Linked DNA regions of Callithrix jacchus. The protein of the gene in region 5 interacts with the protein of the main gene of each other region in a biochemical or structural test. Links are inferred from orthologs where the notes say so. Each region holds a gene or a part of one and is shown on either strand. Other genes may lie near its edges.

Evidence for each region.
Region 1: the proteins of SNCA (region 5) and VAMP2 form a complex in vitro, tested with the Homo sapiens proteins (3 studies listed by BioGRID and IntAct). The link is inferred for Callithrix jacchus from reciprocal best matches to the Homo sapiens genes SNCA and VAMP2.
Region 2: of the proteins of SNCA (region 5) and NEDD4, one has a biochemical effect on the other in vitro, tested with the Homo sapiens proteins (3 studies listed by BioGRID). The link is inferred for Callithrix jacchus from reciprocal best matches to the Homo sapiens genes SNCA and NEDD4.
Region 3: of the proteins of SNCA (region 5) and PLK2, one has a biochemical effect on the other in vitro, tested with the Homo sapiens proteins (2 studies listed by BioGRID). The link is inferred for Callithrix jacchus from reciprocal best matches to the Homo sapiens genes SNCA and PLK2.
Region 4: of the proteins of SNCA (region 5) and CSNK1A1, one has a biochemical effect on the other in vitro, tested with the Homo sapiens proteins (3 studies listed by BioGRID). The link is inferred for Callithrix jacchus from reciprocal best matches to the Homo sapiens genes SNCA and CSNK1A1.
Region 6: the proteins of SNCA (region 5) and YOD1 form a complex in vitro, tested with the Homo sapiens proteins (2 studies listed by BioGRID, with this or other methods). The link is inferred for Callithrix jacchus from reciprocal best matches to the Homo sapiens genes SNCA and YOD1.
Region 7: the proteins of SNCA (region 5) and STUB1 form a complex in vitro, tested with the Homo sapiens proteins (2 studies listed by BioGRID, with this or other methods). The link is inferred for Callithrix jacchus from reciprocal best matches to the Homo sapiens genes SNCA and STUB1.

Annotation. Positions count from the first base shown.
Region 1 is NC_133506.1:74,637,143-74,641,242, reverse strand, and holds the start of VAMP2 (vesicle-associated membrane protein 2), read left to right. Parts: upstream 1-1,262; 5' UTR 1,263-1,331; coding exon 1,332-1,333; intron 1,334-1,854; coding exon 1,855-1,975; intron 1,976-2,456; coding exon 2,457-2,615; intron 2,616-2,697; coding exon 2,698-2,749; intron 2,750-3,357; coding exon 3,358-3,374; 3' UTR 3,375-4,100. UniProt on the Homo sapiens protein: Involved in the targeting and/or fusion of transport vesicles to their target membrane. Major SNARE protein of synaptic vesicles which mediates fusion of synaptic vesicles to release neurotransmitters.
Region 2 is NC_133509.1:43,627,915-43,631,586, reverse strand, and holds part of NEDD4 (E3 ubiquitin-protein ligase NEDD4), read left to right. Parts: intron 1-1,964; coding exon 1,965-2,165; intron 2,166-3,164; coding exon 3,165-3,245; intron 3,246-3,474; coding exon 3,475-3,529; intron 3,530-3,619; coding exon 3,620-3,672. UniProt on the Homo sapiens protein: E3 ubiquitin-protein ligase which accepts ubiquitin from an E2 ubiquitin-conjugating enzyme in the form of a thioester and then directly transfers the ubiquitin to targeted substrates. Specifically ubiquitinates 'Lys-63' in target proteins.
Region 3 is NC_133503.1:151,413,888-151,417,597, forward strand, and holds the end of PLK2 (serine/threonine-protein kinase PLK2), read left to right. Parts: intron 1-51; coding exon 52-199; intron 200-552; coding exon 553-650; intron 651-958; coding exon 959-1,088; intron 1,089-1,335; coding exon 1,336-1,576; intron 1,577-1,699; coding exon 1,700-1,829; intron 1,830-2,085; coding exon 2,086-2,196; intron 2,197-2,333; coding exon 2,334-2,525; 3' UTR 2,526-3,127; downstream 3,128-3,710.
Region 4 is NC_133503.1:48,239,564-48,244,002, reverse strand, and holds the start of CSNK1A1 (casein kinase I), read left to right. Parts: upstream 1-1,483; 5' UTR 1,484-1,991; coding exon 1,992-2,114; intron 2,115-2,764; coding exon 2,765-2,871; intron 2,872-4,439.
Region 5 is NC_133504.1:107,752,472-107,756,143, forward strand, and holds part of SNCA (alpha-synuclein), read left to right. Parts: intron 1-1,589; coding exon 1,590-1,732; intron 1,733-3,672. UniProt on the Homo sapiens protein: Neuronal protein that plays several roles in synaptic activity such as regulation of synaptic vesicle trafficking and subsequent neurotransmitter release.
Region 6 is NC_133520.1:34,559,583-34,563,862, reverse strand, and holds the start of YOD1 (ubiquitin thioesterase OTU1), read left to right. Parts: upstream 1-1,413; 5' UTR 1,414-1,578; coding exon 1,579-1,921; intron 1,922-2,894; coding exon 2,895-3,598; 3' UTR 3,599-4,280. UniProt on the Homo sapiens protein: Hydrolase that can remove conjugated ubiquitin from proteins and participates in endoplasmic reticulum-associated degradation (ERAD) for misfolded lumenal proteins.
Region 7 is NC_133513.1:2,940,397-2,944,498, forward strand, and holds STUB1 (E3 ubiquitin-protein ligase CHIP), read left to right. Parts: upstream 1-1,190; 5' UTR 1,191-1,312; coding exon 1,313-1,471; exon of another isoform or gene 1,472-1,616; intron 1,617-1,910; coding exon 1,911-2,109; intron 2,110-2,194; coding exon 2,195-2,360; intron 2,361-2,427; exon of another isoform or gene 2,428-2,555; coding exon 2,556-2,643; exon of another isoform or gene 2,644-2,807; coding exon 2,808-2,864; exon of another isoform or gene 2,865-2,938; coding exon 2,939-3,055; exon of another isoform or gene 3,056-3,115; coding exon of another isoform or gene 3,116-3,137; coding exon 3,138-3,263; 3' UTR 3,264-3,514; downstream 3,515-4,102. Other genes in the region: JMJD8 (jmjC domain-containing protein 8), read right to left, coding at 3,565-3,645, 3,723-3,857, 3,935-4,002, 4,090-4,102. UniProt on the Homo sapiens protein: E3 ubiquitin-protein ligase which targets misfolded chaperone substrates towards proteasomal degradation.

The DNA.
Region 1 (4,100 bases), on a different chromosome or scaffold from region 5:
CCTGGTCCCATCTTCTCGAACAAGCTGGTGGGAGTGTGTACAGCTGCTGGGTGCACCTAGAGGTCCTAATGGAGACCAGCCCCAGATGGATCAGCGGTAGGTGATCTCCTACCACGATATCCACATCAAGCCATTTAAAAAATAGGAATTTAGTACCTACATGTGCAATATATTTGGGGTCCAGAGAGAGGAGGGCAACTGTCCAAGGTCACACCTGCGAGGTGAATACGCATGTAAAGTAGCACCCTGTAACCTGTTCTCCCTGTGCCTATTATTAAAGAGAAAAAAATGAGAGAAAAAGGCTTTTTTTGTTTTTGTTTGGCCCAGGTCCCGTGCCTGGGACCAAAGCCTGAGCCCTCGCCTGCAGTCGGGGTCGCTGACCCAAGCCTGGGGCAAAGCTAGGTCTTGGCCAGCCAGCAACCTACCACGTGAAGCAGCCCCCACCAACCCACCATTCCCGGCAGCCTTGTTTCCTCCTCCTTGGGGTCCTCAGCCCACCTCCGTCGGCCCTGCTCCAGCAACTAAGTACCCCTAGTCTGAACTTCAGTCGTGAGGCGGGGCAGCCCCCTCCTCACCTACTGTAGACACTCCCCGTCCCCCGCTCCCCGGACTAGTTTGGGCGGGAAGAGCCTGCCTCATCTTTTCTTCCTACCCTCCTACCCAGTGGCTAGGGACCCCAGGCTTCCTCTGAGACATCCACCAGCGAGCGGGGTGATGGGGTGGGACTAACCTCCCTCACTCCCCACCACCCGAGCAGCAGGGTCCCCGCTCTTGGCATTGCCCCAGCATCTGCACTAGCTCCCTCTGATTTCCCAACCCCAGCCCATTCCAAGTGCTGAAGGCGGGTCGCTCGGTGCTGGGGCCTGGGCGCGGGGAGAGACCTTGGGCTGTGTGGGGTGCTGGCTGGTTTACTGGGATCACGATTGCGGGGGGTGGTCTGGGGCTTAGGTGTGGGGTCGGGCTGCAGTGTGTCCTTACTAAGGAGAGTTTGGGGGCGGCTGTGGGAGGCTGTGGTCAGAGGCGGGTGGCGGTGGGTTTGGGGAGGCCGCAACAGTCCACCTTGGGGTCCCTCGAGTGGTGAAGGAGCTACCCCGGCGCTGGGGCTCCAGGCCCGCGGCCCCGCCCGGCACGACCCCAACACGGCAGCGCCCCGCCCCCGGCCCCGCTCCCGATGCGTCTCCCGCGGAGCCCCGCCCCCGCCTGCAGTGCCCGGATGCGGGTGACGCGCGGCCGCCATCTTCCCGTCCCGGGCAGCCAGCGCCAGTCGGAGCCAGCGCGAGCCGCTGCCGCCATCACTGCCGCTGCCAAGTCCTCCGCCCGCTGCCCCCGCCATGTGAGTCGGCTGCCCGCCACCCCCGCCGCGCTTCCCCGCGCCGGCCGCCGCCCTTGGCAACCGGCCTCGGGGAGTGCCCGGGGTCTCGTCCGCGTCCCCCGCGTTCCCCACGACCCGGGGCCAGGCCCAAGCCGGTGACTGCGCGCAGGCGGCCGAGGAGCCCCGCGTCCCGGGCTGGCCGGCTCGGGCGACGGCCGCGGGAAGGAGCTGACTCGGTGTCTTCCTGCCCCGCCCCGCCCCTGTCGCCGCGGCCGCCTGTCTTTTCGGGTCGACCCCTATCGCATCTATGAGGTCGCCCTCATTTGACAGGCGGGGAAACTGAGGCCGGGGGAAGGGGGGCTCGCTCAAGGTCACGCAGCCATTGGTGGCGGGGCTGGACCGAGACCAGGGCTTTCATCGGGTGGCCTTCCTCCCGAAAAGGAGGACTGGAGGGACGAGGATGGACAGGTGGATGGGCGGAGCCCTGGCTGTGGGGCCGGGAGGCTCCAGGCCCTGGATCTTAATCCGTCCCTGCTCCTCAGGTCTGCTACTGCTGCCACGGCCCCCCCTGCCGCCCCAGCTGGGGAGGGTGGCCCCCCTGCGCCCCCTCCAAACCTCACTAGTAACAGGAGACTGCAGCAGACCCAGGCCCAGGTGGATGAGGTGAGTGTGGGGGAAGTCAAAGGCAGCAGGAAAGACCCTGGGGATTGGCATATAGGTGTAGGGGCCCATGTTGGTTTGGGAGTGATGACATTTCACACCTGTGGGTTTGCGGACAAAGATACCATGCCCCATCCCTGTCTCCCTGTCAGCACGCACCTGGAAGGGCACTAGGGATGTTAATCAGCTTTGCTAGCCTGGGGTGTGCCAGCCTGGGCAGGTGTGCTCTGGTGATGGACAGAGCGCCTGGGGCTCCATAGAGAGAGGGTGTTGCTGTGACATCTGAGATGTCAGCAGCATGCCCCTGATGTGTGCTCCTTGCATGTCCCCAGGTGTGCTAGGCATGTTCTGTGTGTCCTTGGCATGTTAACCTGGCGCATCAGGGTGCATGTTCCATGCATGGCATGGTGGGCACATGTTTGAGGATTGCCCTCACTGAGGTGGGCCTTGGCACACCCCCCTGCCTCGTGGGCCCCTCTCCCAGGTGGTGGACATCATGAGGGTGAACGTGGACAAGGTCCTGGAGCGAGACCAGAAGCTATCTGAGCTGGATGACCGTGCAGACGCGCTCCAGGCAGGGGCCTCCCAGTTTGAAACAAGTGCAGCCAAGCTCAAGCGCAAGTATTGGTGGAAAAACCTCAAGGTAAGGGTGGGGACAGATAGGGGACTGGCAGGTGAATGGAGTATCATGATTCGTCTCACTGATCCTTCCCTCTCATCCCCAGATGATGATCATCTTGGGAGTGATTTGCGCCATCATCCTCATCATCATCATAGGTGAGTAGGGTGGGAATGGCCGGGGAGGTTCCCCCAGTAGATTCTGGGTTTTAAAGGTCATTAACCTAGTTTTACTCTTCAGCCAAAAACAGTCGTAGCTGCTAATGGCAATTCTGATTCATCTAGAGCCAAAAACTTTGATGTTATTTAGCTTGCAGTTTGCCTGGTTCTGGACAGTTTTTGTTAACATTTGGAAAAAGGAAAGGTGATGTATCCATTAAGGACCCTTTGGGCCTAAGAGCCCAGTCCAAGAACCCTGAAACTGATGAGTGGGAGAAAGGAAAGGCCCAGGGGCTTGAGACATGACCAGGAAGACAACCACCCCATGATTTGAGAACTTGTGGTCTCAGAGGCTCAGAGGATTAGCATCTGTGGCCTCATGGCCATACCATGGAGTTGAAGGGACCTCAGAACCTACCTGTCTAGCCCCCTGCTTTGTAGATGGAGAAACTGAGGCCAAGAGAGGGGAAGGGGTGTCAACCCGCTGGGGAGTGGGGAGGATTGGAGCAGGGCCAGGCCTGACACACTGCTTTCTTTTTTTCTCTCTCTCTCTCTTTCTCTCCTCCTCCCCTCTCCTCCTTCCTTATCTTCTTCCTCTCTCTCCACAGTTTACTTCAGCACTTAAATCCCCGAGGAGTCTGCCCTGCCTAGAGAAGGGCCTCTCCCCCCACCCTCAGCCGTTCCTCCACCTCTCAGCCATATCTTTCAGTCCCCCTCCCCTGGATCCGTGTGTGTCTGTGTGTCCCCCTGTAAATAGCCAGCTGTTATTTATACATATATAATATTATATATATTTGGTCTGTTTGTAGTTTTATTACTAGAAGATTTTTCCGGTTGTCCTTAACACCCCTTCCTGAGGTTCCCTTCACCTCCTCTCTCTTGCCTTCCTTTCCTTTCCCTTTCTTCCTGACTAGCCCCAAGTCCCTTCATTTGCATCTGCTATGCAATAGTCCCTCTCCTCTCCTCCTCCTTCCCTCAGATTTAGCTGATCCATCCTCCCACCCTGGCCTTCCTTTCCTCCTCCCTCTCCCCTTCATGCTCCCTGTGCTCCGCCCTCAAAAAAAAAAAATGAAAAGCACCTGTCCGGGCTTCCTTAGGTGCATCTTTTTTGCATCCATTAGGAGGCTCTGAGACTGGCCCCACTTGGTCCTAAGAATCCCAAGGTCTTTGGGAGCGTCCAGCATGTTAATTAGTGTATCATTGCATACTGCAGTCTCTTTCCATTTCTTTTTGTTCTATCACTCTTCTCTTAACCTGTGTTTCTTTTTTTCACTGAGGAGTTAGTCCCCATTAATACTTGTATTACATTTTTGTTTGCACGACATTACTTGCAGTTGGTGGGAGCCTGGGC
Region 2 (3,672 bases), on a different chromosome or scaffold from region 5:
GGCCTCCCAAAGTGCTGGGATTACAGGCATGAGCCACTGTGCCTGACTGTAACATCTTCTAATTATTTATTTTCTGACACTGATGCTAAGTGTCCGCCATTTCCTGTGACTCTCTAATATATACAAATTACCACTTGTTATTATATAAAACAAGTTCAAATGAGAATAAGAGGAAAAAGCAAAAATCTGGTCTTTGTGTATTTTTATAATTTGAATAGTTAAGATCATTATTTTAACTAAAACATAATCTTGGTGATTGGTATCTATTAAAGAAATTAATGCTGATAACACCTCACCCTTGGCAACAGTTTCACCTGTAATAGTTCCTTTTAAGTGTTTAGCAAAATATTTATTTTCTCTTGTTGCCATATCTCTTGTTGAGAAAATTTTTAACACTGAAAAGTCTAGAAGATAATGTAGCAGATACACATATTCTTTATTCAGAATTACCATCATTAATAAGTTACCATATTAATTCCTAGAAATTTTATTTTTAAAAATAAAGTCTTGGCCGGGTGCAGTGGCTCAAGTCTGTAATCCCAGCACTTTGGGAGGCCGAGGCGAGTGGATCACGAGGTCAAGAGATCGAGACCATCCTGGTCAACATGGTGAAACCCCATCTCTACTAAAAATACAAAAAATTAGCTGGGCATGGTGGTGTGTGCCTGTAATTCCAGCTACTCAGGAGGCTGAGGCAGGAGAATTGCCTGAATCCAGGAGGCGGAGGTTGCGGTGAGCCGAGATAGTGCCATTGCACTCCAGCCTGGGTAATGAGCAAAACTCCATCTCAAAATAAAATAAAATAAAATAAAGTCTTAAAGATTAACCTAAATTTCTTTTAGCCAAGCTCTTGGTTCCGTTCCCCAGGGGGAACCACAGTCTTGAATTTGTTGTGTATTCTTCTAGCATATTTTATATACTTAAAGAGCTTAGAAAATGTAAATTAAAATATGCTGGGTGCAGTGGCTCACACCCATAATCCCAGCACTTTGGGAGGGTGAGGTGGGCAGATCACAAGGTCAGGAATTCGAGGCCAGCCTGACCAACATGGTGAAACCCTGTCTCTACTAAAAATATAAAAATTAGCTGGTTGTGGTGGCACGTGCCTGGATCCCAGCTACTCGGGAGGCTGAGGCAAGAGAATTGCTTGAACCCAGGAGTCACAGGTTGCAGTGAGCAGAGACTGCACCATTGCACTCCAGCCTGGACAACACAGTGAGACTCCATCTCAAAAAAAAAAAGTAAAATATTGTTTATATGCCTGTGTTTCTAATTTTGCAACGAGGGAACACTCATTTTATAGAATGAGGTGCTGCTCGATTAAAAAAAACCCTTTTTTTAATTGATGTTGTGGCCCCATAAGTCTACATCTTTTTTTGCTTAACACTGTTTTAAAGCTCTGTGTTGTTATTTATAGATGCAGTGTATTTCTCTTAACTACTAATATTCCATCATATGACTATATTACATTTCAATTTCGACTTCTGTGGTAGATATTTGTCATTCATTTTGTCTGCCTGACATTTGAATCTACTTCTCTGTATGAGGAACCCCCCATCCTATAAGTTTTGGGAGAATAAAGACAACCTCCTACTATAGGCACCATAACTCCACTTGCAGCTAGGGCTTGAGCTTGTGGACCTTGCTCCCTCAGTCAGATGCACCCACAGCAGACTGTTAACTGCTATCTCACTGCTTGAGAATTAGTTGAGAAATTATAAATTATTATTAAAATCAAGTTTGACAAAATAGCTTATTGGAAAAATGTTATTAAATGTACTGCATTATTAAAATGTTGGGAAAATATTAATATGCCATAACTACATTTGAAAAAGAACCTCAAATGTTTAGAGTCTCTTTAAAGGAGGATGTGTATTGCATTTGCAGGTTAAGTTACCTTTTTAACTGCTGCTATTTGTGAGTTCTCTATAAAATATTATAATATGATTTCATAAATATGCTAGGCCACAGTGGAGACCAGTCAGCTGACATCAAGCCAGAGTTCTGCTGGCCCTCAGTCACAAGCTTCCACAAGTGATTCAGGCCAGCAGGTGACCCAGCCGTCTGAAACTGAGCAAGGATTCCTTCCTAAAGGCTGGGAAGTCCGGCATGCACCAAATGGGAGGCCTTTCTTTATTGACCACAACACTAAAACCACCACCTGGGTAACTCTGATACTCTTCCATTTAAATTTATAACAACAATAATCATCTCTTATGTATAGTTCCTTATCATCTTTAAGTGTATATTAGTATAACCTATGTTTTCTAGGATTCATTGAAAAATATATTGAATTCTTAATAATATTATTTATATTCAGGAACACACTTACCCCTCTTTTTAATATTGTTTTGGATTATGATGGAGATACTCATGTTTACTTCCTGTTTCCAGTTGTTAGCCCACTAGCCATAAATGCTTAGGAAGATATGTAGGAATAATCCTTTGCTTTTATATGAGGCTTTCTAGCTCCAAAAAACTTTTGAATCCATATCTCAATATCAGAAAACCTTGCGAGGCTAGGTAGAGCAAGTTTTTTTTTTAAGGTAAGGCTTCAAGTTGTTTAGTGCTTGGCTTACCACTAGAAAAATTGCTCAAAATTAGCAGCAGATGAATAAATTTTAATTAATTATTAAAAGACCAGCACACCTTATTAATAATATTAAAGTAAAAATATATGTAAATTAAACCAAATACATTGAATTTTGTTCACATTTTTAACATTCTGAATTGACCATTAATAACCTCTTTGGGCTTACCTTCCTGTTATTCAAAAATATGAATCAACTTGAACAGATAGCTGCCAAAATGCATGTTCTGGGACTTAGAAATATCACGTGGTCCAATTTAATGCCCCACTCTTTTACCAGTTTTTACGTAGAGAAAACCCCTATAGAGTGACACATTTCCTAAAGAGCAGGCAAAGAGGTGACCAGTTAGCGGTGATCCCTGAGAACTGATCCTTATTCCTTTTGATATTATAGCCTGAGAGTGATAGATTTCAGGAGAAAATATTATGTCACATATTTAGGAAATAAAACACGAAAGGACTTTTACAAGAGAATATTTCAAACGTCCATTGATATTGGAAAACATGGTAATAGACTGACTTTCATTATTTTGAAATGTGTGTGTGTTGTTCTTTATTTACTCTACCACAAAAGGAAGATCCAAGATTGAAAATTCCAGCCCATCTGAGAGGAAAGACAGCACTTGATACTTCCAGTGATCTCGGGCCTTTACCTGTAAGTGTATAGAAATGCTAACCTCTCTTACTTGGCTATCTCAAATATTTTGTATTTTGGGATAGAGTAGTTCTTTATCAGCCTAATTAATCTTATTATTAAAATGTTGATACCTTCTAAGAATGGAATGGAATATGCAATTTAAATTAACCATACAATCAGTGCTATTTTTCTATCCATACATCTAAAACCCTATCCTAAAATAATTGAAATACATTCTTCATTATAGCCAGGATGGGAAGAGAGAACTCACACAGATGGAAGAATCTTCTACATAAATCACAGTATGTTCAATGTGATTTTTCATTATGTTATTTTTTATAATAAATTTTATATGTGAGAAAGAGCATCTTTTTTCTTTTTCTACCCTTCAGATATAAAAAGAACACAATGGGAAGATCCTCGGTTGCAGAATGTAGCAATAACT
Region 3 (3,710 bases), on a different chromosome or scaffold from region 5:
TGATCCCAGTTACCTGGCAGGTTACTGAAGGCCTTTTCTAATATTCCACAGGGCTTCACTCCGGACAGACTATCGTCTAGCTGTTGTCATACAGTTCCAGATTTTCACTTATCGAGCCCAGCTAAGAATTTCTTTAAGAAAGCAGCTGCTGCTCTTTTTGGTGGCAAAAAAGACAAAGCAAGATATATTGACACACATAGTAAGTTAATAACACTCCTTTTCCTTTTTTGTACACAATATCATATTTAAATTTGGTACATCAGTTAAAAGGGAATTTTATATTAATATAACTAGCCAGATTCACAGATTCTTAAATGTTGATATTTATAGCTTAATAAATCCACAACTTGAATTGTGATTGATAGCTTTTTATTTTACAAACATTAAAGAGGGATTTTTGGGGTAGTTGCAGCTAATGGCAAAGGTAAAATGCTATTTTGCCTTGGATGCTTATAAGCTGGTGAATAATGCAAGAATGAGGAAATGTGGCTAACCCTTTTCCTTCCTTGTTAAGATAGACTAATGTTTGTAATTTTATTCCTTGATATACAGATCGAGTGTCTAAAGAAGATGAAGACATCTACAAGCTTAGGCATGATTTGAAAAAGACTTCAATAACTCAGCAACCCAGCAAACACAGGACAGATGAGGTGGGTTGGAGAAGAGTAGATATTCATGCTTTACGTTATTTCCACTCTTTATGAATTAGCACTTGAACTCTGATTATCATGGCCATATTTACCTCAAGTTTTTCTTCAAACCCGTTGAAAGGGAAATTATTGGCTTTTAGTTTTATAGTGCATGCAAGTGAGTTACTGCTTTATCTTTTATCTGGCTTGTGTCCATTGGTTTTTGATAAGCTTTCACAGCAGCTGCCTCACCCTCGTCTTAATCTGGAATTCTCAGCCTTAAATATTTTTGATGCTTGACTCATTGCATAACTTTTCTTTCTTCCTAGGAGCTCCAGCCACCTACCACCACAGTTGTCAGGTCTGGAACACCCGCAGTAGAAAACAAGCAGCAGATTGGGGATGCTATTCGGATGATAGTCAGAGGGACTCTTGGTAGCTGCAGCAGCAGCAGTGAATGTAAGTAGTTGTCAATCTCATTTTAAATAATGAAACTCTAAATGCCAGTGCTAAATACATAATAATTTAAGTCAATTTACATTGTAGCTTAATTTCACATAGAAGTAGCAAGGTTATAGGAATTGGAAAATAATCCTAAGTTCTATGTCTTCAGAATTAATGGAGTGAAACTTAATATCTACCAAAGCCTGAGGTTTTAGTGCTAAAATATTGTTTACCTTAAAACATTTCTGTCTGACTGTTTTAGGCCTTGAAGACAGCACTATGGGAAGTGTTGCAGACACAGTGGCAAGAGTTCTTCGGGGATGTCTGGAAAACATGCCGGAAGCTGACTGCATTCCCAAAGAACAGCTGAGCACATCCTTTCAATGGGTCACCAAATGGGTTGATTACTCTAACAAATACGGCTTTGGGTACCAGCTCTCAGACCACACCGTGGGTGTCCTTTTCAACAATGGTGCTCATATGAGCCTCCTTCCAGACAAAAAGTAAGTGTATTGATTAATGAAATCCTGTCAGTTCTCTAGTTTTGGACTAAAGAAATGTAAAAACAGTGATTAACTACTTCTGTTTTTTTCCCTCTTTTCTCCCTGTCATTCCTGTTTTTATAGAACAGTTCACTATTACGCAGAGCTTGGCCAGTGCTCAGTTTTCTCAGCAACAGATGCTCCTGAGCAATTTATTAGTCAAGTGACGGTGCTGAAATACTTTTCTCATTACATGGAGGAGAACCTAATGGATGTAAGTTTTGCGGCTTTAGAGTGGTGTCATTTGAAGGGTAGTCCACAAACCAATAGCATCTGCATCACTTTGAAGTGTTAGAACTAGAGATTCGCCTGTCCTACCCCTGATTTACTGAATCAGAATCTCTGGGAGATGGAGGCAGGGATTTTCAAGGCCATTCTGATGCTTAAGTTTGAAAAGGTTTTCTTAGAATAAGAATAGAATACATGCTACAAAATCTTTGTAGGCACTAACTCACTCTCATCTCTTCCAGGGTGGAGATCTGCCTAGTGTTACTGATATTCGAAGACCTCGGCTCTACCTCCTTCAGTGGCTAAAATCTGATAAGGCCCTGATGATGCTCTTTAATGATGGCACCTTTCAGGTAAGTGAACTCTGCAGGACAGTGCACATTTAGGTCCTAAACAGAAAGATTTGTACCTAGGCAGTTTAGTAATTGACTGAACTTTTCTAATTCTTGACTATTTTGAGAGATCTAATGTCTTGTGTTTATTTTTTAAGGTGAATTTCTACCATGATCATACAAAAATAATCATCTGTAGCCAAAATGAAGAATACCTTCTCACTTATATCAATGAGGATAGGATATCTACAACTTTCAGATTGACAACTCTGCTGATGTCTGGCTGTTCATCAGAATTAAAAAATCGAATGGAATATGCCCTAAACATGCTCTTACAGAGATGTAACTAAAAGACTTTTTGAACAGACCCTATGGGACTCCTCTTTTCCACTGTGAGATCTACAGGGAAGCCAGTAGAATGATCTAGAGCATGTTGAAGAAGATGGACATGTGGTGGTACGAAAACAATTCCTTTGTGGCCTGCTGGACTGGGTGGAACCAGAACAGGCCAGGGCATCCAGTTCTTGACTTTGGATAATCCACGAGTGAACCAGAATGCAGTTTTCCTTGAGATACCTGTTTTAACAGGTTTTTTTAGAAAATTTTGCAGAAAGGTGCATTGATTCTTAAATTCTCTCTGTTGAGAGCATTTCAGCCAGAGGACTTGGAACTGTGAATATACTTCCTGAAGGGGAGGGAGAAGGGAGGAAGCTCCCATGTTGTTTAAAGGCTGTAATTGGAGCAGCTTTTGGCTGCGTAACTGTGAACTATGGCCATATATAATTTTTTTTTTCATTAATTTTTGAAGATACTTGTGGCTGGAAAAGTGCATTCCTTGTTAATAAACTTTTTATTTATTACAGCCCAAAGAGCAGTATTTATTATCAAAATGTCTTTTTTTTATGTTGATCATTTTAAACTGTTGGCAATAAAGAGTATGAAAAAGCAGAAATAATGGTCTCCTGTCTTTGGTAGAATTCATCACCACATTGTGGCATTTTTTGATAGGGTCATGCCAAGCAGTGCCAAGAAGCCATTGAGGATAGAAGCATACTAGAAATTCAGAGCTTCAATTTTTTTCTAACTGCAGTTTCTAGGATGTCTAATACCTGAAGTATAATCATAAATGTTCAGGGTAATCTAGCATAGGAACACCATTCTAGTTACGACCATAATATAAGCCTTCTACAAAATCCAAATCCAATTTCTCTCTGAAGTGTTTCTTCAAAACTTGCTTAGCTTGGAGATAAAGCCAGAGTGAACAGATGTCTGTTATTAAGTGTCAATAGGTACAGGAAGTTTATCTTAATATGGGCAAAACTCTGAATTAGAATGTGTGCACCAGCTAAACATGTTACTCAGCATAAACCTGCCTAAACACTTCCAGTGCCGCAGGCAGTACTAGCACTTAATTCCAGTAGTGAGGAATACTTTGTGAATAAGTCATTTTATATTCCTTCTGGTGCATGGTAGTTGAGGAGTGGTATGGGAACCACCTTACAGTTTGGGCCCATCTTTTAAACTGTTAGGTTACC
Region 4 (4,439 bases), on a different chromosome or scaffold from region 5:
GTTTTTGAGACACAGTCTTACTCTGTCACCCAGCTGGAGTGCAGAGGCATGATCTTGGCTCACTGCAACCTCCATCTCCCAGGTTCAAGCGATTCTCCTCTCTCAGCCTCCTGAGTACCTAGGACTACAGGCGCCTGCCATCACGCCCAGCTAATTTTTGTATTTTTAGTAGAGATGGGGTTTCACCATGTTGGCCAGGATAGTCTTGATCTCTTGTCCTCGTGATACCCCCGCCTCAGCCTCCCAAAGTGCTGGGATTACAGGCGTGAGCCACCGTGCCCCTGGCTACCATATGGTTTTAAATGTTGTCAATTATGTTTTGCGACAGTTACCTCTGCTATATGTTAAGGTTAATATTGAGGTTTTCCATATGACCAACATATGATTCTTTTTTTTTTTTTCGTTTTTTTGGTGGGATTGGGAGGAGGGCTAGAACAGTTTTTTCACTCTTGTTAATTTTCTGTTGATTCCACCTATTACTAATCTTCATTATGGCAAGATACCCGGTTTTCTCATGAAGATCAAATGTGGTAGTGGGGCAATAATGCAAAGACAAAGGACGGTAGGAGGATTCCGGCTTCTTTTTTCCCCTCCTGAGCAAACAGGGTCTCTAACACTCCGTAGTAGAGAACACAGTTCTATTTATGAAGGGTAATTAGCTGGGCTTTGCTACAACCGAGAGCCCTGAACGATTCGATCAGCCCGATACGCGGGCTGCTTTTCTCTTCTTCTCCACCAGAGGCGATAGCCTCTTTCCAAACAGAAACTTGGTTGCAATAGGCCGGTCGGGGGGAGCGGCCAGAAGATCAAAGATTAAAAACCGCCTGAAACAGGCCGGGCGCGGTGGCTCATACCTATAATCCCAGCACTTTGGGAGGCCGAGGCGGGTGGATCACGAGGTCAAGAGATCGAGACCATCCTGGTCAACATGGTGAAACCCTGTCTCTACTAAAAGTACAAAAAAAAAAATTGGCTGGGCATAGTGGCGTGGGCCTGTAATCCCAGCTACTCGGGAGGCTGAGGCAGGAGAATTGCTTGAACCCAGGAGGCGGAGGCTGCGGTGAGCCGAGATCGCGCCATTGCACTCCAGCCTGGGTAACAAGAGTGAAACTCCGTCTCAAAAAAAAAAAAAAAAAAACCTCCTGAAACAAAGAGCAAAGGTCAATACCAAACTCCTAAGGAGGCCTGAAGCTTTTATCTGTTAGGAAACGGGAAGGTGACTTCTCCCTGACATCGGTGCCTGAGGCCACTCAGCCTTCCAGAGACCGGGCGGGTCCGGGCGGGTCCGTGGTAACAGGTAGCACCGGCTGAACAGCCGCCAACCGGAAGTGGAAGAGAGCCTGGGGCGGGGTGAGTACCAGCCGCGGCACGCCTGCGCAGTCAGCAGGAGTTACAGTGCTCATGCGCAGCTGGGCGGTGACGAGGTGACGCTTGGAGCGTGGGCCGCGACTCTCACGGATCCGGTTCCGCCCTCCCTCTGGCTGCAGATCCTCCGGAGCGAGCGCCCGAGATCCCTTTCCCAGAGTGCTCTGCGCCGTGAAGAAGCGGCTCCCGGGGACTGGGGGCATTTTGTGTTGGCTGGAGCTGGAGTAACAAGATGGCGTCGTCGGCGGAGTGACAGGGGTCCCTCCGGGCCGGAGCCAGCAGCAGTGCTGGCAGTGGTATCGCCGCCCTAGCTCACCGCGCCCCTTTTCCTGCCCGCGACGTCGCCGCTCAAGCAGGCATCGGCCGCCAACGAGAACAAGTGGCCCAGCCTGGTAGCCGCGAGAAGCCCTTCACAAAGTGCGGCCTGGCAAAAAGAAACCTGACTGAGCGGTGGTGATCAGGTTCCCCTCGGCTGATTCTGGGCCCCGAACGCCGGTAAAGGCCTCTGTGTTCCGTTTCCTGCTGCCTTCCTCCGTAGCCTTGCCCGGTGTAGGAGCTCGAGAGGTCTCCGTCTTCCCCTCAGAGGTGTCGGGGCTTGGCCCCAGCCTCCATCTTCGTCTCTCAGGATGGCGAGCAGCAGCGGCTCCAAGGCCGAATTCATTGTCGGAGGGAAATACAAACTGGTACGGAAGATCGGGTCTGGCTCCTTCGGGGACATCTATCTGGCGATCAACATCACCAACGGCGAGGTAATCACCTGGGGTAGGGTTGACGATAACGCTGGGCATTTCCTCATTCCCCGCCCCCACCACCGCGCACCCCTAAAGTGCTTGGGCCTCTCCCCACCGCACGCACTCGTCAGGGAGTCCAGAGAGCTAGTTTTCCTGGCTTTTGAACCTCCCCCGCTCTTTCCCTAAAAGGATCAAGAACCCGATAGAAAGGTTGGGGAAGGTTCCCAGCTTGTTAAACACGTCCCATAAATGTCCCTTAGTTGAACTTTTTTTTTTTTAACCGTTTTTTAAGGTGGAAACGGCAAAATCCTATTTCTGTGATTCCCATGCTTTTATTTTATTTTATTTTTAATTCTGCTGGCCTCTTATTCCAATTAGAACAGTTTCCGATCGCCTAGTTCCTTAAAAACCTCTCATTACGTTCAGAGGTTGCCTCTTTTTTTCTGGATGAATCATTTTCCTGCACTTTAGAAGAGGTAGGGATTTCGTCACTACCCCCTGAAGAGGCTGGTTGCCTCATTTTATAATTACAGAGAGCTTTCTCTTTCCAGTCTTTCGCTTTTTCCCTGTAGTCGCGACTTGGAGTTTTGCTAATGTCTCTCCCTCCTTTCCTAAGTGACATTGAATCCGTAGGGATGTTGATGCCATCATCCCTCTTTCCCCTGCAGGAAGTGGCAGTGAAGCTAGAATCTCAGAAGGCCAGGCATCCCCAGTTGCTGTACGAGAGCAAGCTCTATAAGATTCTTCAAGGTGGGGTTGGCATCCCCCACATACGGTAAGAACCCTGTGCATATAGGCGGTCTGCTGAGGGAAGCACGGAATGGGGAAGTGGGTAGAGGCAGGTAAGGAGACCAGCTGAATCCAGGTCTTGGTGTTTCAGTTACCTGGGTTCCCTACAGCTAGTGGCTTCCTGTAAGTCAGTTATCGCAATCACTGAGTAAATTTCAGTTTGCTAACTTAGTTTAAAATTTCATTGTATTACACTGTGTCCCATTTCGCTTCCGTCATTTCTCCCTCTTCCCGAGGCTTTCATTTGCAGTAAAGTGTGCAGGTCATCTTTGATCTCTACGCGGAAGGTTTGACTGCTGCCTTTTTTACGGCGGCATGTCTGGTGTTCAGAGGTTTGCTCAGTGAAGTGGATTTGAAGGTGGCGAAGCGACAGGGCAGTGTCATTTCGGGTTGCTATTGGAGCTGGCTTGGGAAATGGCTGCTCTTTTGTTGTGTTTTTGTTCCAACATGTCTTCCTCCTCCGCTTAGAAAATGGCGGAACGACGTGACTCAACCCCATATTCCTGCCCTTTTCTCAGCTTGGGTTCACAAATTATGCTTCCTTGATACCTCCTTCAGCAGCCCCAAGTGGTTTAAACCTTTGAAAAAGTCAAGAATAAAGCTGCAGGAGCCAGTGGGGTTCCAGGAAGGACATGGCATAGTGACAATGTTTGTGATCTCGTCAGCAGATATGATACGAAATTGTTGAATTATACTATGTAAAATCCTTTGTAGTTCTTTTAAAAGTGTTAATTACTCTTTCCTTTAGTGAATGGTCATGTTTGTCACTTTTCAGTCCAAACTAAATTTGTATAGATAGTGGCAGAGGCAGTTTGAGCACCACCATGTTAAAATTTACTCAGCTCAGTTTTATTAAAAGAGAGCTTAATCACTTAGCCACACTTTGATAAGTAATTTTAACCTGTTGAGTTTATCAGTAAATTTTAACATCAGAGAAATTGTGGCCTTTTTTGGTGTGGAATATTGGTGGATACAAATAGTGGTAATGAGGATACAAGGTGACGAGATAGAAATACATTGTTCCGTCAACTCTTGAGGGTTTTAGAGTAATGTTTTGACTTTAGGGATTAAAAGAGCCTCTTCATGGAATAGAGACTAAAATGTAGTTTAAAACCCAGCTGTTTTCCAGCGATAATAAAAAAAAATTTGCAAAAATTTTCAGAATAGTTGAGAATGGTATTTACTGTTTACTGGAGCCTCTTTTTTTGTTTTGTTGTTGTTGTTTTTGTTTTGAAATGGCGTTTTTGCTCTTGCCACCTAGGTTGGAGCGCAGTCACACGATCTCTGCTCACTGCAACCTGTGCCTCCCAGGTTCAAACGATTCTTGTGCCTCAGGCTCCAGAGTAGCTGGGACTACAGGCTGGTGCCACCACGCCCAGCTAATTTTTTGTATTTTTAGTAGAGACGGGGTTTCACCATCTTAGCCAGATGGTCTCCATCTCCTGGCCTCGTGACCTGCTCTCTCGGCCTCCCAAAGTGCCGGGATTACAGGTGTGAGCCGCCACGCCTGGCCTAATTTTTGTATTTTTAGTAGAAAAGGGGTTTCACCACGTT
Region 5 (3,672 bases):
TCTAGCCTAAAAGACAAAGAGCAACACTGCTGTGGACCCTTTCTGGTCTTGGGCTGTGTGGCTATGGCAGGCTTCCCCACATTGCCTGAATTAAAGAGAAAGCCTCCTGTCCTTACAGACCTTTAGCTTCTATGACATACATAATGTATTTGAAAACAAATTGCTTTGCCCACACCATTTAACTATGGGCTTCTTCAACTGGAGAGATGAAAGCTATACAGTAATCATGTGAATAGCACTAAACAGCTGACATGGTGTAACTCCTCTCAGACTGTGGCTTATCTGGGGAGTACAAAGCATATCAAGAAAATGTGCCTTCATTTTTTTAGACGAGCACCTAAGGAAGAATATAACTAACCTGTCCCCATCCTCCACTTGCCTCCACTGTTATACTCTTTGCTTCTATGATATCAACTCTTTTTTTTCTTTAGATTCCACATAAGTGGGATCATGTGGTGTTTGCCTTTCTGTTTCTGGCTGATTTCACTGAACAAGAGAATTTTTGACATGACATTAAATTTCCGCTTATAAACCCAATTCAAATTATTTACATTGTCTTCTAAAACATTAACTTTCTAAAATAAATCTACTGAATGACCATATCACATTTTCTTTAATGAAAAGAAATTGTTAGGGTGCTCAATTGCCTCTTCATTTTCATACTGTCTAGCTCCTTTGCGCCTATCAAAATAACTGCAAATTTTGCTTTTTAAGAACACTTCTGTTTCACTACCTGAAGTTCTATAAAAAGATCCAAGTTCCTTCACAGCCATCTCTTATACTATTAATCATATATATGTGATAATACCGTGTCTGAACACATTGATAAGTATGGGCTGGGCGCAGTGGGTCATGCCTGTAAAGGAGGCTGAGGCGGGTGGATCACCTGAGGTCAGAAGTTTGAGATCTGCCTGACCAACATGGTGAAATGCTGTATCTACTAAAAATAAAAATATTTTTAAAAATTAGCCAAATGTGGTGGAGGGCACCTGTAATCCCAGCTACTCAGGAGGCTGAGGCAGGAGAATTGCTTGAACTTGAAAGGCGGAGGTTGCAGTGAGCCAAGATTATGTCATTGCACTCCAGCCTGGGCAACAAGAGTGAAACTTCGTCTCAAAAAAATAATAATAAAATAAAAAAGCTCAGAAGTATGTACTGTGTTGCTAAGAAGGTGTGATGGAAATAAACTTGCTGTGTGAGATCAAAGGACTGACACTGAATTGAAATAATGAAGTATTCATACTGAGTCTGGTTCAACTATAACTGCACCTGTAAGCGTTGCTTTCTCTAAACTTTCCTTAGGATAAAGCAAATCCAAATCACTCATGGCTTTACATTCCTGATCATTAAACTTGAAGCACTTTTAATACTGCATGATTATAGCAAAAACATCTTAGCCAAGATTCAGTGTTTGTTTGAACCACACTGACTTGGAAATCTTGGTTACTGTGTTTCTTCTGACCCCTCAGTTGTCTTTGGCATGTGTAAATACAGGTGTATAGAAGTTGATGGCTAGTGGAAGTGGAATGATTTTAAGTCAGTGTTACTCTACCACCCTTTAATCTGTTGTTGTTCTTGATTTGTACCAGTGGCTGAGAAGACCAAAGAGCAAGTGACAAATGTTGGAGGAGCAGTGGTGACGGGTGTGACAGCAGTAGCCCAGAAGACAGTGGAGGGAGCAGGGAACATTGCAGCAGCCACTGGCTTTGTCAAAAAGGACCACTTGGGCAAGGTATGGCTGTGTACACTTTGTGTTACATTTACAAGCTGGTGAGATCATGGTTCATTTTCATGTGAGGCCTGGAGGCGGGAGCAAGATGCTTACTGTGGGAAATGGCTACCTGACCCTCCCGTTGTGAAAAAGTGCTACCTTTATATAGGTCTTGTTTTCTTCAGGCATTAACCCAGATAAACGCCATGCAAATGGTACAATTATCATGATTTTTTCAATTTCTGGAAGAAAGCTAATGAAACAAACAATTTATTAAAATGCCAAAGGAACAGTGTGACATTTCAGAAAGAATGAGTGCTTTCATGTTAACTATAAGTCTTGAAATTTCTCTTCATTGGAATAACAAATCTCTTTGTGCCTAATTTCTTAATTTCCAAAATAGAGTTCTTTTACTTGATTTCTTTATAGTGACATCATCTCTTATTAAATGGCATATTTGCATATTACTTAACAGTTCATTACCAAATACATGTTTGTGGGAACTGAGAGACTTAAAACACATACCAATCAGAGATCATACTTTTGAGGTAAGTTTTAAAATTCTGAGAAGAATTTTGACTGAATTTTTTTTGACAAATATAGGACACAAATAAGATTTTACCAAAGATATTATAACTTTCATTTTAAATATGGAACTAATACAATATGAGGTTCCATATTTAAAATGGAACTAGCTCTAACCTATGTAAAATTGGTGTCCTCCTCACCTCTGGTGTGCCCAGTCTCCCTAGTCCCTTTCTTTTCTTTTCTTTTCTTTTCTTTTCTTTTCTTTTCTTTTCTTTCTTTCTTTCTTTCTTTCTTTCTTTCTTTCTTTCTTTCTTTCTTTCTTTCCTTCCTTCCTTCCTTCTCCTTCCTTCCTTCCTTCCTTCCTTCCTTCCTTCCTTCCTTCCTTCCCTCCCTCCCTCCCTCCCTCCCTCCTTCCCTCCTTCCCTCCTTCCCTCCTTCCCTCCTTCCCTCCTTCCCTCCTTCCCTCCTTCCCTCCTTCCCTCCTTCCCTCCTTCCCTCCTTCCCTCCTTCCCTCCTTCCCTCCTTCCCTCCTTCCCTCCTTCCTTCCTTCCTTCCTTCCTTCCTTCCTTCCTTCCTTCCTTCCTTCCTTCCTTCTGGTGTGCCCAGTCTCCCTAGTCTTTTTCTTTCCTTCCTTCCTTCCTTCCTTCCTTCCTTCCTTCCTTCCTTGCCAAAGTGTTCATCACCTTTAAATACAATAAATAATATGCTTACTTTAATGTATGTTGTTTATTTTATTTTTCCCTTCTAGAATGTAGGCACCATGAGAGTGAAATATATTTACATTTTTTACTGATAGTTCACAAGTGTCTAGGAGAGTTTCCAACTTGTACTAGACAATTTACAAACATTTATTAAATTAGGGAAGGAAGGAAGGAGATAAGTGAGTAAGCAGAATGACTTTTATTTCTGCGTCTTTTATAATCGTATGCTTAGTATAAGAACAGTGCTATTCAGCCATCCACTAGTTCCAACCAAAATGATTTTGGATGAATATCTTGAAAATTGTGAGAAAGAAGTTTTATTTGCTGGCAAACTATTCTGAGTTGTTTCCACTTCATGTAATCCTAGGTAGCAGTCTTACCTTGATAGCCCATTAAAGCACTTATAATAAAAAGGCAGAACAAAAATATCTGTGATATATTTAAATTTAGTACATGTAGTTACATGTCTATTGTCTGGTGTGATGAATGCTAATTATGGCAAATCCTGACTGGGCTTCTAGTGAAGTTCTTCAGCCAATGCTTGAATGCATTGTTGGTCATGATGGTACCCCTTTGTACAAAATATGCTTTTCAAATGATCTTATTAGGGATAATAATTTTAGTCCTGGTTTTCATCTAAAATTATAATTCTATTTATAGCTTTGTAAGATTTCACAAGGTAAGAGGGACCTCAGTTTAAATTAGTACACAATCAATTAACCAGTTTTGTGT
Region 6 (4,280 bases), on a different chromosome or scaffold from region 5:
TGAGAGGGAGTGTGTACTTTGGATGATGAGAAAGTGTTGCAAGAATTAACGCTCTCATTCCTGAATCCCAGCACAACCTCGTTAGATCCCTAAATGGGAACGTAGGCTTATGAAGATGTTTTTTCTAGAATAAACTACCACAACACTTGAGCTGATTATACCTTAGGGTGTTTACATATCCCTCTCCACAGGTCAGAAGCTGTACCCTAAGAAAATCAACTACTCTCATCTTTGAACCAGAAGCTTCCCTGGACCCACCCATACACCCCAGTGGGCTTCTAACCATTCCTACTTTCCCTCCTACCTGCCCCCAACCCAGGCTGTATCATCTGTGGTGATCGTCTTGAAGAACCAAGGAGGAAAATTGCACCAGAAAAAAAAATTGAGTCATTAAAGGTGTGAAAAGATTACATATAATTTATTCAGAAGCTAAGTGTTTTACAGGAGATGAGTTTGCACCTTCCACGTGAACTACACTTTTCATAGTTGCCCCAGCGGGCCCGTCTGATGCTTGATAAACCCACTCTAGGCAGGTGGGACTTGCTGTCTGGATCCCGGCTGTATAAAGAACAATGAGTATGGATTTCTTGAAAAAGACAAATATAAATTCACGGATGTCTTTATTCCTCCTTCGCCTAGGAATTAAATTCATTCTTCCTAAAGTTCAAATAGTTATCGCCTCTTTGAGGCTTTTACAACTCCCAGAGCGCTCTAGTAGCCCTCTCTGTGTTACAACTCTGTCTTTATTCATTCGCAAGTATTTGTTGAACACTTTTTATTTACGAGGCAAAGTCCTGGGTTCTAGGCATACATGGTTGAAAAGGTACACGTAATCTAGCATTGTCACGTTGCTTTGAAATTCAGTGGCTGTGTGTCTCACACTCCACCCTCTCGCTCAGTCGCAATGAATACTTGTTACACTGAAGGCAGGAATGAAGTCTTCATATTTCTATGCCCAGGAACTGAACTGGAATCTGATGACACTTGTTTCACGACTCCTCCTTACACTGCCACCACCTGAATAAGGCAACTGCCCTGTGCCCAGATGCTGACTGTGCTTTCTGATGTAGCAAATAGACGTTTTCAAGCACAGTCTCGGGAGGTGGAAAGGTCAGTCCTTTGGCCCCTGAAACTCCAATGAGTCAATGTTTAATGCAGCCACGAGTCTAGTCACAAGTAGGATTGTTTTTGACTGGTCCTTTGACTCACCGACCATTCCTGGCATTCATTTGCGTTGTGAGCTATGATTCTGTTTCTCCTGGTGTAGTCTGGGTATAGTGTGGAAGCCCCGATTTAATAATTTCCGACCTCATTAAGTGCCAGGTCACATTCCAATCTCCACGGCTTCATTCAGGAACTCCTTCCCCCGCCCTCTTCTTTGAGCATATATGCTACCTCACTCGCTCTACAGGTAGCAAGACCCGTTGTCCTTTAGGAATACGGAGGTTTACATCTTCGTTCTGAGGGTGGGGAAAAAAAATTGTTATCACTTTAAAAGTGTTCGCGCTTGCTAAGGTGCTAAGGCAGAAGCAGAGCTCGAAGCGTCGCGAGAACTGGAACCACGCGCAACTTCTCGCGATGTTTGGCCCCGCTAAAGGTCGCCATTTTGGAGTCCACCCGGCTCCTGGTTGTCCCGGCGGCGACTCTCAACCTGCTGCCGGGACCAAAGCTGGCCCCGAGGGTGTCTGGCCTGTGGGCAGCCGGACCGACACGATGTGGCGGCTCCGCTGCAAGGCCAAGGACGGCACCCATGTTTTGCAGGGGCTGTCCAGCCGGACCAGGGTGTGGGAACTCCAGGGCCAAATTGCCGCCATCACCGGGATCGCCCCCGGCGGTCAGCGAATCCTCGTCGGATACCCTCCCGAGTGCCTGGATCTCAGCAATGGGGATACCATTCTGGAGGACTTGCCCATCCAATCTGGTAAGGAATCAGGGCTGGGGCCAGTAAAGTCTCGGGAGGACGGAGAGGGGCGTGAGAGAGAATAGAAAGCTAGTTACGGTGGCTGTGGGTCAACTGGGGCTTTGAGACCAGGGGTGAGGATAGATCAAAGAACAGAGAACTCTGACGCAAGCCGGGGCAAGTGTCTAGCAACTCCTGGTCTTTACACAGGCTTGAAAAGCAACCCACAGCCTTGAAGTCCCCCTTACCCAATCCGCTTTCTGGTCGGCTTTGAAACTATCTGATTTTGTTTTCCCTCGGCGTTCACAAAAATAAAAAGAAGTAGGGCCTCTTTTCTCTGTCCTTATTTATGTCTCTTTTTCCCTATATCATCGATCAGGTCTTAAGGGTGCAGGATTTTTTTTTTTTCTTGGTTCATTTTTGCGGTCGCCTTCATAGATACTTCGTTTGATAGGCATATTCATTTTAGAGTTAGCTTTTAGACACCCACTGAAAGCCCTTTCAAGTTCTAACCAGGAGCAGTTTATTTCTGTGCCATATTAAAACTTGAACATCAGTGTTGATAATTAAAAGCTTCCAGTTGTATCAAGGACGCTGTAAACACTCGATAGAGTAGATAATTTTCCGGAGAAGGAGAACCCCCTAGCGGCCTACTTTGTAGTGAGCACCTTCTGTAAGATACTGTATAAGGAAATGAAATTTTGTTTTTGAATATATCTTTTTAAGTAAGCCTCAAGTTGTATACTCTAGACCCCTTGACTAAATTGGGGTGCAATCTGAAGTGTTTTTTGTTCTTTGTTCTTTTTTCATCTTTATGAAAATTCAGTGAATAAAAATTGTTACTGGTCACTTATTTGCAAAGCTGTATTCTTCTTAGTAACCCCAGTTTATGCTTTAACTCCTTCAGTTTGTAATTTACAGACGTGGCTAGTGAACACTTCAGTTTCTTCTGTAATTTCTCTGCAGTTCTGAATTCTTTTTTTTTTTTTAACAGGTGACATGCTGATCGTTGAAGAAGACCAAACCAGGCCCAAAAGTTCACCTTCACTTACTAAACATGGTGCTTCTAGTTACGTCAGGGAAACTTTGCCTGTGCTTGCCAGAACCGTGGTCCCAGCAGACAACTCTTGCCTCTTTACCAGTGTGTACTATGTCGTTGAAGGAGGAGTCTTGAATCCAGCTTGTGCTCCTGAGATGAGACGCCTCATAGCACAAATTGTAGCAAGTGATCCAGACTTCTATAGTGAGGCAATACTGGGAAAAACAAATCAAGAGTACTGTGACTGGATCAAAAGGGATGACACTTGGGGAGGAGCAATAGAGATATCGATTTTGTCCAAGTTTTACCAATGTGAAATATGTGTAGTGGATACACAGACAGTAAGAATTGATCGTTTTGGGGAAGATGCAGGATATACCAAAAGGGTTCTGCTTATTTATGACGGCATCCACTATGATCCACTTCAGCGGAACTTCCCCGATCCAGACACACCTCCTCTGACCATTTTCTCCTCTAATGATGATATCGTTCTCGTACAAGCACTGGAACTAGCAGATGAAGCTAGGAAAAGGAGACAGTTTACTGATGTCAACCGCTTCACCCTGAGATGCATGGTATGTCAGAAAGGATTAACTGGACAAGCAGAAGCAAGGGAACATGCCAAGGAGACAGGCCATACCAACTTTGGAGAAGTGTGATCTCTGCATGAATGAGGGTTGAAGCCTACTACCTCACAGATCCAGAAGGCTCTGGGTTTTCCAATAAGCTATTGTAACCCTAAAGAACAAAAGGACACAATGCTTGAACCATCCTTTTAACTTAAAACCACTAAGACACTGAAATTCCTTGTTAAGATTAAAATTAGTGTGCAAGTTTACAGATGTGTGTCTACAATGGTAGACTGTACATACATGCCTCTTTCTGCTGGAGTGACAGAGGTGATCCTTGCCACCTACTGACACTGACCTGAAGATTGAGATTTAGTATTATAAACTAGCACCCAGCAGCTTTAACTTTTAGAAGAAAACATCACATTCTGGGTAATGTGGAAGGCCTGTGAGGCCACTGGACATTTACCAGTGTCTCCAGTAACTGAGTCGTTTTAAAAACTGAATGAGTTAAGTTTCTAAATTATGAATTGATTCATCAAATGAAGATACTCAGAATTGTCCAAACTGATTTTATATTGCAATTTGGTAGACTTTATAAATGTGTGCTTAACCACTGATAAGTACATCACAAGCAATTTTTACAGGGATGAGTTTCCCTTGAGAATGTTATCACAAAACAGGAACTGATTGTGCCCTGTTTAAGATATCTAGTGTATAAAAAGTAGAATGTATGAGGGAAAAGGTGCCTGAGCAGCTTACTGAAGCTTTA
Region 7 (4,102 bases), on a different chromosome or scaffold from region 5:
AAGCGGCCTCTCTGTGGGAGGCCAGGTCAGGATGCCTGGAGTGGTGGACCCTCCAGGAACCCCGCCCCACGACAAAGCCCCGCCCCCACGAAGACACGCCCCTAGGAGGCCCCGCCCACGAGGAAGCACCGCCCCACCGACGCCACTCCCTGAAGACCCGCCCTACGGAGGCCCCGCACACGAGGAGGCGGGGCCGCACCCCACCGGCAGCCTCTAGACTAACAGCCGTTCCAGCTCCCTTCGCGTCACGTGCTTCTCCGCTCGGCCCTTGATGGCCGCCAGCAACTCCTCCCGTTACCTGGAAAAGGGGGTGAGGGGAGGTCCGGCCACGGGGACACTCGCCCCACGGATCCCTTTATCTCTTACCAGTCTACCAACGGTCCACGGCTTCCAGCCGCTCTCGGGGGCCCGCGCGCGCTCGTAGCACCTTTCGGTGGCATTCCAGGATGGCAGCCCAGCAAGCCGCTGGGGTCCCCACAGCCCCAGAGCGCGTGGGAGGCCGCCATGTTACGTGGAGGGGAGGGGTCGGCTCTCAGGGGCGGAGCCTCTGCGGAAGGGGCCGGCTGCTGGGGGCGGGACCTCTGCAAACGGAGTCGACCCCCCCCCGAGGGCGGGGCCGGCTGCCAGGGGCGGAACCTCTGCAGACGGGGCTGACTGATGGGGGCGTGGCCGGGTGCTGGGGGCGGGGCCTCCGCCGATGGGGGTGGCTGCGGGGGCGGGGCCTCTGCCGATGGGCCAGGTGCTGGGAGTGGGGGCGGGTGCCGGGGGCGGGACCGCCGCAGATGCGGCCTGTTGTTGGGGGCGGGGCGGGCTGCTGGGGGCGGGACCTCTGCAGATGGGGTCTTTACGGGTTGGGGCAGGGGCGGAATCCCACGTGGGCGGGACAGGCTTTTAGGGAAGCACGCCCTCAGCGAACCAAGGCTGAGGCACCTCACGGAGAAAACCGGATATATGGGACGGCCGCCACCGAGGCCAGTTCTGGAGAGGCCTCGGCGGGGCGGGGCGGGGCTGGCCTCCGCGAATGCCGACCCTGAAAAACGCGGGGCCAGGGAACCGGAGCGTTCCTCGCAGCCAGCTACGTCGCGGGCCGACTGTCCCCGCCCAGGCTGGTTGGGCGCACGCGCGGCCCTACCCGCCCCCCGACGCCTGCGTCCCCGCCGATCCCGCCCCCGGCCGGAAGTTCCGGCGGCGGAGCTGGGCCGGGCCCGAGCTGATCGTGGGCTCGGGCTGCAGGGCTCGGGCTCGGGCTTCGGGTGCAGGGCCGTCAGGCGCGGAGCTTGGGAGCGCAGCCCAGGCCGTGCCGCTCGGCGCCATGAAGGGCAAGGAGGAGAAGGAGGGCGGCGCGCGGCTGGGCGCTGGCGGCGGAAGCCCGGAGAAGAGCCCGAGCGCGCAGGAGCTCAAGGAACAGGGCAACCGTCTGTTTGTGGGCCGAAAGTACCCGGAGGCGGCGGCCTGCTACGGCCGCGCGATCGTGAGTGCGCCCGCGTGGGGAAGGCGGCGACGGCGAGTCGGAGGGCCACGCCCGCGATCGGCCGGCCCCGCCGAGGGTCTGGCTCCTCCGCGGCGGGTATCCTGGGCTCCGAAAGCCCAGCATTGGTTCTCGATCCCAGCGCCAGGTGCCGGGGAACGAGGGTGGGATGCTAGATGGAGGCCGGCCGGGTGGGTGGGAGGCCAGGGTCCAAAGCTGGGACTCTCCAAAGATTTGGAAAACTCTACAGAACCAACCGGAGTGAGGTGTGTAGGCTCAGCCAGTAGTCCCGTGTCTGCAGATCCTTGGACCCAGAGGCTTTGGCTACTGAGAGGTCTAGGTTCTTGATCGTAGCCAGATCGCAGAAGCTGGGACGGGCCCTGGGACAGAGGGGGCGCGCTGAGCCTACGCCTGATGCGGCTGGCCCGGCCTTGGTCCCTAGACCCGGAACCCGCTGGTGGCCGTGTATTATACCAACCGGGCCCTGTGCTACCTGAAGATGCAGCAGCATGAGCAGGCCCTGGCCGACTGCCGGCGCGCCCTGGAGCTGGACGGGCAGTCTGTGAAGGCGCACTTCTTCTTGGGGCAGTGCCAGCTGGAGATGGAGAGCTATGATGAGGCCATCGCCAATTTGCAGCGAGGTTGGCCGACAAGCTGCCTGGGTGCGGGGCCCCTGGGACCAGGCGGTTGGACTGGCCAGCGTGACCGGAAGCCCTTGTTCCCCAGCCTACAGCCTGGCCAAGGAGCAGCGACTGAACTTTGGGGACGACATCCCCAGCGCTCTGCGAATCGCGAAGAAGAAGCGCTGGAACAGCATCGAGGAGCGGCGCATCCACCAGGAGAGTGAGCTGCACTCCTACCTTTCGAGGCTCATTGCGGCGGAGCGTGAGAGGTGGGACCCTTACCCCAGGCCGCGCTGTCTGGGGATAATTCTGAATAACCAACCGCCAACACGAATGTTTACTGAAAGTTTTACTGGCGAGCAGTGCATGTGGGGAAGAAGCCTGGATGTTAGCCCTGAGTCTGGGGTGTGGTCAGACATCTTCTGGCCAGGTCCGTCTCTGACGGGCTCCTGGTCATCCCCCAGGGAGCTGAAAGAGTGCCAGCAGAACCACGAGGGTGACGAGGACGACAGTCACGTCCGGGCCCAGCAGGCCTGCATTGAGGCCAAGCACGTGAGGGTGCCCCCATCCACATGTGGGTCTGTGTGTGTGCACACGTGGCACGGGAGCGTCCCCACCCTGCTGTGGGTCTGTGTGTCCCTGCCTCGTGTTGGGTCTGGGTACCACGGAGGAGGGAAGTGGGGTGTCCCTCCCAAGCACTGCTCAACTTTCCACAGGACAGATACATGGCGGACATGGATGAGCTCTTCTCTCAGGTGGATGAGAAGAGGAAGGTGAGTGCTGCTGTGGGTGGTAGGTCCTGGAGCAGCCCCTTCCCAGCCTCTGACCCTGTGCCCATGTGCCACAGAAGCGCGACATCCCTGACTACCTGTGTGGCAAGATCAGCTTTGAGCTGATGCGGGAGCCGTGCATCACACCCAGTGGCATCACTTACGACCGCAAGGACATCGAGGAGCACCTGCAGGTGAGGCTGGGGCCAGGGGGTGGGCAGGGCCAGCAGCAGGGTCCTAGGCTTGCTGAGCAGCCTCTGCCTCTTGTCACTGCAGCGTGTAGGCCATTTTGACCCTGTGACCCGGAGCCCCCTGACGCAGGAACAGCTCATTCCCAACCTGGCTATGAAGGAGGTCATTGATGCATTCATCTCTGAGAACGGCTGGGTGGAGGACTACTGAGCTCCTCGCCCTGCCCAGTGTCCTGGCCCCGGAGGGCCACGGGCAGAAGCCCCCAGCCCCTGTACATAGCTTGTGTCCCTGGCCACCCTTTCCCTTCCCCCCAGTTCTGCTGTTGGGCTCTGGACGGCTCCCCTCTCAGCATAGCTCTTGCTGGGCTGTGATCCTCCCCGTCCCCCATTCTGGGCTGGAAAAGCAGGTGAGGGTGGGCTGGGCTGCGGCCACCGTCTGTGTAATAAAATCCGTGAGCACAAGCTGGGGAAGAAGTGCTCTGTGTGACAGGAGTGCCTGCCGGCTGCCACGGCTAGCCAAGGAAGGTAGAGATGAAGACGCTGGTGTCAAGGTTGAGTGTGGCGTGCCACCAGCGGTCGGGGAAGTACAGCACCTGGTGAAGGAAGGGGGTGCAGCCGAGATCAGCTGCGGGCCTCTGACCTGGCCCGGTCCCTCCTGCCAGCCACTGACCTCACCAGCCTGGATGGTACACTCCAGGGGCCGTGCAGACGGCGGCAGGGCTGGGTATGTGTCCCGGAGCCAGGCCAGCGTGGTCTTGTTGGGGTGGAACTCTGGCGTCTTCTCAGGTGGGTAGAGGAACCAGCGCTGTGGGCAGGGGCAGCAGCGTCACCCTTGCCCACTTGGGTCATCCACCCAAGCCCCGACACCCACCCTGGGCTGACCTTACGGCCGTAGATCACCTCCGAGTACCCAGGCCCGTGCCAGTGGAAGGGCACCCCCGAGCCGGCTCCTGTGGGGTTACGAGCACCTAGTGACCCACCTGTTTAGTACCCACTCTCAGAAGCCTCACTCCTCCCCAGTCCCAAGGAGCACCCACCTGCGATTCCAAA